2 linked regions of the Rattus norvegicus genome follow. The protein of the gene in region 2 purifies or fractionates together with the protein of the main gene of each other region. This does not show direct contact. Links are inferred from orthologs where the notes say so. Each region holds a gene or a part of one and is shown on either strand. Other genes may lie near its edges. The genes, in order: Vapb and Rab3gap2.

Region 1 (4,349 bases), on a different chromosome or scaffold from region 2:
ACACAAATCACACAAAATTCCCAATATTATGACCAGTGCTAAATCCCACGGTAGTGTCTTCAACAGCAGTGAAAGACCCATGAGTCTCTGGGTGACAAGTACTTTGATTAGCTTGTAAATGTCATTCATTTAGACGAACCTCAGAAATCAGAGTCATCATTCTGGATAACATGAAGGAGCCCAGTTAAATCTGAAGGTTCTCACCCTCAAATGAATTCCCTTAACACAAAGAGCCAATTTACTGGGCCTCTCATTTTACCACCTCAGCACTCAGCTTAAAGCAAACAAACCAAGAAACTGAACACCCCAGTTGGGATTGGTGGTGCCACATACAATCCCAGCACCAGGGAGTTATGGCAGGAAAACCACTCGCTCCATACTGGCCTGAAAGCTTAGTGAGACTTCATCTGCAAGGCAAAGGCTCCACACTAATACATGGCTGGCACTCACAAGAAACACCCCCCAACCCCCATCAAGTTTCCACACATCCCTGGACGACTCTTCCAGAGTGAAGACATTCGGACACTAAACCCCTGGACTATCTCCTTGGCAACCAGTGATGTTGGCTGGAGAAGTGTCACCTTCTTAGCACCACCACCGACCCAAAGGTAAGAGGGCAAATGGCACCCTAGGTCACACACACTGAATTGGAAGAGCTGGAACACTCTCCTCCTTCAGAGGCAGTAGTGTATGGGGGCTTGGGGTATCAAGATCAGTCAAGTCATTACACCCAGTGGGTGTGTAGACCTGACACTGTGTACTAGCCAGTCTGGCCCTCTACTCTGACCCGCAACTCCTAACCACAGCATCTCCAAGAAGCAAGTACTCCGGCTTATAGACCTCCATGCACAGTACTGGCCAGGCCCGGACACTCCCACCCACTTCCCCCTTTCTGCCACTGGACCTTTGTAACCAGATTCAATGATACTCTGTCACCTCCCATTCCCTGGGAAGTTGTTTCCCCACACTCTCTAGTCTGGGTCACCTCATCTGCCCCCTTTTTCCCTGGATGCAAAGGAAAGGTGGGTGTCGGAGAACAGCAGCCGAGAAAACCAACTGACATGACAGCCCCTCCCTAAATTGAAAATATGTCTACGTAAAAGTGGATTCAACCTACTTGACTTTTCTGAACATCACCACTGATCTCAACATGCTCCAGACTTACATCAGCCTACAGGCCCACAGAACCCTATAGCACAAAGTCCATCTGATCCCAACAGGCTATCCAAAGATGTGTTAAACCAGCAATACCAGCAACGGGGAAGCAGAGACAGAAGGATCATGTCAGCCTGAGTGGACCTCAGACGGTGAGAACTACAGATCTCAAAGAGAAGGCCAGTGCGACAGTCGGCAGACAAAAGCACTGCTATGCCAGACGCCTGCGAATTGTCTTCTGACCTCCACACACTCACTGTGACACACATACCCCTCACACACACGATACATAAACACACAATAAATAAAAACACACGCCGAAGAGCTTCCGTGCATGTGCACCCCCCACCACAGAGATGGACACTCTGTAGACATGAGGGGATGCAAACACAAAACAATTATGCAGAGGTACAGTGATAACCAGATGGCGGCGGTTCACGGCTGTGCGGTCATGCACAGGTCCATAACCTGGAAAAGGATCAGAATTCAAATTCCCAAACAGTTGCTACCAAAGGCACACCACTTTCCTGTCACTACCAAGTGGGATTCCTGGTAAGTGGGGGAGGGGGGGACCTCTGGTGCGGAGGATCCACATTTAAACGGATGCTTTTATTTAAAATCTGTTGTGTACGTGTCTGTGTGTTTGTTCACAAGCCTGCTAGGCTGCACCTGCTGGGGGTAAGAGGACAACATGCAGAAGTCAGTTCTCTCTTTTGACCATGTGAGTCTCAGGGATTGAACTAAAGTCCTCAGCCTGGGCAGCAGGAGCTTTTAAATGGTGAACCATCTCTACAGCCCAGGGTCAGGCGGCCTGAGGTTTGTGTTTCTAGGTTAACCGGAGGGCCTTTGCTTCCTTGTAAGTGTCTTTGCACACTCTGAACCTGGAAGGCAAGGTGGACATTCACAGCTATGAAGCATTTCCCAAGAGTTTGTGGGTACGATGGCTAAAAGTGTTTGAAAGTCCGAAATCAGGACTCAAAGGCGACGACTAGGTAAGAGCTGTGATCCTACGCTACTTCCCAACGGCAGAGAAACGGGTGACTCTCAGCCACCCAAAACCGTGAGCACCAGCTGTGGCCTACATGTAGGCAATACACAGAGGATCACATTGGCCAACCTGAAGCACACCTCCATTGAGTCCAACTTCATCCTTCCCTTCCCAGTACTTCCAGCCGCCTGCCGCCATCTTGCTTAGGTTGTTGAGCTTTATAGGCCTCCAGTGCCCAGTCTCATGACTCAAAATATGCAACGAAGCAAGGAACAGGCTGGGCACGGACCCTGTTGCTTTCTGGACCTTAAAATTAGTGAATAGAAATATGAATACACACATACACACACACTTCTGTGTGTATATACACATATATAGTACATGTATGTATACACACTATCTATAACATGCATATGCCATGCATACACATCTGTATAAATGCACTTTTTTAGTCACCTGTGCACGCCTGCGTGTATAAAGTTCACCTTTACACACAAATGTATACAAAAAGTGTACTACATAGAAAGTATGCACAGACTTCGTGGGCTGTAGACCCCCGACAGCTCGCTGCCCCGGGGGAGCTGAGGAGAAGAGTACTCAGGCCGATTCCATGCACTGACTCCACATGCATGCATTAGGCGCCTGGTGCATGCCGGCCTCAGGCGGACAGTGTCCTGCCCTCAGGGCGCGTCCCTTCCGGAGCCGGCCGCTGAGTGACAGCTCCCGGGTCGGCCGCCCGCTTACCTCGGAACTTGAGCTCGTGCTGTGGCTCGAGACTCAGGACCTGCTCCACCTTCGCCATGGTCCTCCCCGTCGGGGGCGGCGGCGCGGGCGGGGGGCGGCGGCCTGGGTGGCGGGGCACAGGGGCGGAGGGCGAGGCCGCGGTGCCGGGCGAGCTCACGGCACGCACGCACGTATGTACGCACGCCCCGACGCACGCACGTACGCACGCACGTAGCAGCTGCCGGGCTCCGGCAGTGGCCAGAGGCTACAGCGGCAAAATGAAGACTGCGCATGCGCACGGTTTTCTGGGCCACTGCGCAGGCGCAGCCGGGAGGTTGAGGGCGGAGCCTCCGTGGCAGTGGGCGTGGTCTCTCGAGGCTTGGGAGGAGGGGGCGGTCTCCAGCTAGACTGTTCAGTAAGCGCCTGTGGGGAAAACTGTTGTTAAGTGCTTTACTTAATAATAATAATTAACAAGAATAAACTTCCACTTTCTTCACGCACGTGTGGTGCCAGGCTCTACTGAGCCTGAATATAATAAAGTACTTATTATTCTTACAAACACAATGTTTACTTACGGGTTAGTGATATGTGCCAGGCCTTGTGACAGTTCATAAATAACAATTATAAAATATAATAAACTGGCAATTACTGTTTGCTTATTTCGTGCCACTCTGCTGAATGCTTTCAGTAACTGTCATAAATAAAAGCTACTCTGCATTCAGTGTTTACCAAACCACAGAGCACTACACCGAACCGTTTGCTGATAGCATTATTTGTTTATGCAAGAAATATTCAGAAATACAATAACCAGAAAACGACCCGCTTCAGACCTTGCTAGGACCTCACTGAGAGAATAAATTAGTTACACACATAAATCTCATTAAAAGTGTCTGGGAGCCTAGCTCAGTCTAATGCCCAAAATAAGCCCTGTATGCTCTTATTAGCGTGTGACTAGTATTTCATTGTGTAAACATATACTATGTAAAACAGACCCTAATAGCATCCTCATCAGACATTCGTATATGGGGTAAATATGGCTCTATATGGCAGGAATATCCATGTTGTTCATGAATTTCCCATGTTCTATATACCTGAGCTCGTTTTCCCAGTAAAAGTTTTCAAGGGGTAGTCTCTGTCTTTTAGCTTGTGCATCTAGTCCATTTATACTTATTATATTTGCTGTTGTACCCAGATTTATTTCTGCCACCTTATGTTGTTTCTCCCATTGGATGTACTGTTTCTTTGCCTCTCATTTCTTGCTCTTCAAGATTGGTTTTTCCTCTCAATCTGTTCTCTCCGTGTGTGTTCTGTTACTGCTGCTTCAGTGCTTTAACTTTTTAATGCGTGTAATGCTTTATGAAAGCCTAGCTTTTATGACATTTGTGTTCTGCTGTCTTGAAGTTGAAGGGCTGCAGTTCATCATCGTCACCCACTCCTCAATTATATGCCTTGTGCTTTTGAATGAAACACATTTCCCTCGGTC
Region 2 (3,811 bases):
TGCCAGCCTAGCTGGTTCCAGTATGTCTCTCTTTACTACTTTTCTTATATTTGGGTCAGAACAATAACCCAGAAACAGCCCTACTATGTACATAGCTAACTCATGTCCAAGGTTAATCTCGCTGGAGTCTCGACTGTCGGTGAAGGTCTCACTTCCCACACTCTTAGGATCATGATCTTCCTGTGGCACCCTGGTCTGAAGTACCCTAGGGCTTTGGACCCCCGTTGAATGGCTGACTTACCACTGGTCACAAAACCTATTATCCTGCCCCTTCTTCACTTAAGGAAGGCATCAATCCTTCAGGCTCGACTCCAAGATGAGACAAGACAATGAACATCCTGTAGACAATTCCCTGGCCACCTCCTTCTTAAAGCTCCTTTGTAAGTGATCTTGGAAATGGCTCCCCTTGAATCCAAATTCTTTCTTTGAGGTTCTTATCTCAGGCTGCCTCCTCGTATAAAATCTATCCTTCCTCCCTCTTCATAAAGGCTCTTTACTATAACAACTGTATATTAGAATAGACTAGCAGAGGGGTCTGAACAATAGACTTGCCTTTGTTAAACCTTAACAAGAAAATGATACCAGAATGAGAATTCTGTCCTTGTCCCCTATCATTCTGAGTCCCACATGCAGAGTGCTAATCACAGTCAGTCTCAAGGGCGAAAGGAATCACAGAGCTGGGATGAGAATATAACTCCTGAAATCTGAATAAATTATCAACCTGGGTGTAAGAAAGCAACACTTAATGACACAGCTGGCCACTGTACTAATTACACTGGCTTCACACTGCTTAAGGCTCAGGAAGGCCAGCAAGGGCAACTTAACTAGGTCCTGTCTCCAGGAAGTAAATGTGAAAGGGCTGGGGAACATGTTGTTCAGTGTTGGGAGTCCTTGCCTAGCAAACATGAAGCCATCAATAGGTTCAAAACTGAGTAGACGCACACACACGCACACACACACACACACGCACGCACACACACATGCACGCACGCCCCCCACACACACACACACAGCAGTGGGCTCCAGGACAAGCCTGCCCTGTGCACACATGTGCAGACATAGTCAGCAGATGCAGACTTTTACCTCTGGGTCTTTGTTCCACTGAACCACATATTCCCAGCAGCAGTGCGCATGCAGCACGTCAAGCTCAAGGCTACAAGGGAACTGCTCGTAGGCTAGGCGGAGCAAGTCTGGAAGACACAAGAGGGAACAGCATCCTTTTGGTCACAAGAATGTCACTCCACCCTGGATGCCACAGTGCTCATCATTCGGGTGTCACCTGGTACGGCTCCTAGGTCTGTCTCCACCTCTGACACCTCAGGGGGACTTCGGGCAATACCTTCTCTGGGCTCGTCTGGATTCTCTACGTCTTTTTCTCTGTTGGCACATTTCAACAATTCAGGGCTGAGGTCCTGTTTAAATATCCACTTGGCCACGCTGTCTGCAATACCACCTACAGGTTCGAGACAAGAAAGAAAAGGAAACCTGGTAAAATCTGAGCAGCAATGTGCTAAATGGAGACAAACACAGAGTGGGGGACGCAGATACACAGCACATTCACTTCTGAACCTGAATCTGGTGATGCCAAAGCCATGAGGTTTAAAGCACATTAATACCTATCATCTAACTTGGAGGGCAAGCAAGAGGCTGGAATCTGGGGCGCACTTCCTCATGGAGACAATCTCAATGTAACATACACGGACGTGTATCAATCCTATATGCTACACACTTGCCAGGTCCATAAATTCAAAATACCCTTTACAGACACAGATGGAGGAAACACGACTGTTTAAAGGTTCCTCTCGTGGTTTGTTTGAAAAGGGGTCTGGCGTCAGGCTGGCCTCAAACAAATCACCAAACTGAGGGTGAGTGACCTTGAATCTGTGCTGTTGCTGCTGCTTCCACCTCTGGAGTGAGGGAGGAAGTGTGAGCTGCCACACGCAGCTCGAGGTGCTGGCAATGCAGCCTACGACTGTGCAAGCAGACAATCGCTCTGCCCCTGGAACTAATGCCCACCTCATGTTAGTTTATTTTCATTTAAAACAATGCATGCGTCAGAGGAGGATGCCGGGTGTCCTGCTTTGTAGCCCTGCCTGACTCACTGACAGGGTCTCCCTGCACCTGGAGTGCAGATGGCAGCGCTCCAGGCCGCCATATCTCCCACAGCTGTGGGTAGAGTGCACAGCCACACTTAGCTTTTCTGTGGTTCAAAGATCTCAACTCAGGACCTCATGCTTGGCAGCAAGCACACTTACCCAGCCCATATTACATCTAATATACAACTAACTTCCCCTGTTATAAAATATGAGTAAAATTTAGTCATAATTTATGTTTTACTCATCAAGAGGATACAAACATTTATATGAGCTGAAAATATTCAAGACATCTGAAAAATTCTGTTCATTACTGAACAAAACTATATACTTAAAAATAACAGACACTAGCCCCCACCCCAACCCTCGCTCTTATCTTTTGGGGTGGAGGTAGAGGCAGGAATTTAGCATTGCTATGCTACCCACTACGACTCACTTGAACTCAAACGTTCACCCCCCATCTGCTTCTAGAACAGTTGAGACTAATGTGTGCCACCATGCCTGGCTTATCTCTTACTTCCGTTCAAATGGAGTTTCCCAGAAAAGGGATGCCTCATGGTAAACACCCTCGTCTGTGAAAAACGACCCCAGCAGGGTGCTGGGAAGTCAGATTTCACGTCTGGCTTCTAAATGACTTTGTACCTGTTCCTCTATAACTATGCCCCTGACTATACTTTTTGGGTTAATAGTAAAAAAGTGTACCCCAACCTTCTTTAGGGGACAAACAACAGGGTTACAGTAAACTTACAATTGAAAAAAATTGTTACAAACTTATAAATAATGAGAAAACAAGTTAAGTAAAAATCTATAAACACAAGGCTGGACAAATGCTCAGTGTCTGAGAGTTGGTACTACCCAACCATGAGGCCTGGGATACAAAGCTCGTTTCCCTTGTAACAAGCTAGGCGTGCTAGACACCCTTGTAAGCCCATTTCTGAGACGACAGAGACAGAAGGATCCCTTGGTCTTGCTGTCTTCCAACCTAGCCTAGAAAGTTTGAATCCTAGGCTTGGAAAGAGACTCTGCCTCAAAGGAACAGAAGGAGATTGACTAAGGACACGTGACACCCACTTCATGTATGTGTACAAAATCAGTGTACCTGTACGAACACACACACACACACACACACACACACACACACACACACACACACCCCTCTTAAAAAGCTGTAAGCACTTGTATAAATATTCTGGTACCCAGTGCCTCCTAGGGACGCGCAGGGAAGCTGAAAACAAAGGCGCTAACCCCTCGAACCAGAACGCCGCGCCCACAGAAAGCCACGTACCAGGGAAGGAAACTGTGAGAAGTACACAGCTGCTCTCACAGGGGTAGCTGTGGGAGAGCCATGAACAGAGGCTGGGAAGAGTATAGGCACCAGGGTGCATCTGGTCTACTGCACAGAAGAGAATCTACACAACTAACTGTACATTCAAAAAAGACAGCGCAGAGGACTCTTGGTGCCCCTGACACAGAACAAGCGCCTTGTAACAGATCTGAGCTAATGATGTACAAATTAAAATGCCACTCTAAGTCTCAAGTGTATGGCAACTATGAGGCAATGAAACATAAAACATACTTCAGGAACATTTAAAAACACAGAATGAGGAAGAAGGGATGAAGTTATTAGCTCTCTGGAGATCAGGAGGGGAAAGAAAACACTAGTCAGGAACGGTTTCTTGGAGGGAGACTCAGACTTTGAAACATGAGCAGCGCTCAAG

What was found.
Region 1: the proteins of Rab3gap2 (region 2) and Vapb purify together in Homo sapiens (affinity purification with mass spectrometry; 4 studies listed by BioGRID and IntAct, counting the BioPlex papers as one, with this or other methods). This does not show direct contact. The link is inferred for Rattus norvegicus from reciprocal best matches to the Homo sapiens genes RAB3GAP2 and VAPB.

What each region holds. Positions count from the first base shown.
Region 1 is NC_086021.1:182,952,959-182,957,307, reverse strand, and holds the start of Vapb (vesicle-associated membrane protein-associated protein B), read right to left. Parts: upstream 3,062-4,349; 5' UTR 2,946-3,061; coding exon 2,888-2,945; intron 2,425-2,887; exon of another isoform or gene 2,342-2,424; coding exon of another isoform or gene 2,284-2,341; intron 1-2,283. UniProt on the Homo sapiens protein: Endoplasmic reticulum (ER)-anchored protein that mediates the formation of contact sites between the ER and endosomes via interaction with FFAT motif-containing proteins such as STARD3 or WDR44.
Region 2 is NC_086031.1:99,344,513-99,348,323, reverse strand, and holds part of Rab3gap2 (rab3 GTPase-activating protein non-catalytic subunit), read right to left. Parts: intron 1,454-3,811; coding exon 1,280-1,453; intron 1,191-1,279; coding exon 1,084-1,190; intron 1-1,083. UniProt on the Homo sapiens protein: Regulatory subunit of the Rab3 GTPase-activating (Rab3GAP) complex composed of RAB3GAP1 and RAB3GAP2, which has GTPase-activating protein (GAP) activity towards various Rab3 subfamily members (RAB3A, RAB3B, RAB3C and RAB3D), RAB5A and RAB43, and guanine nucleotide exchange factor (GEF) activity towards RAB18.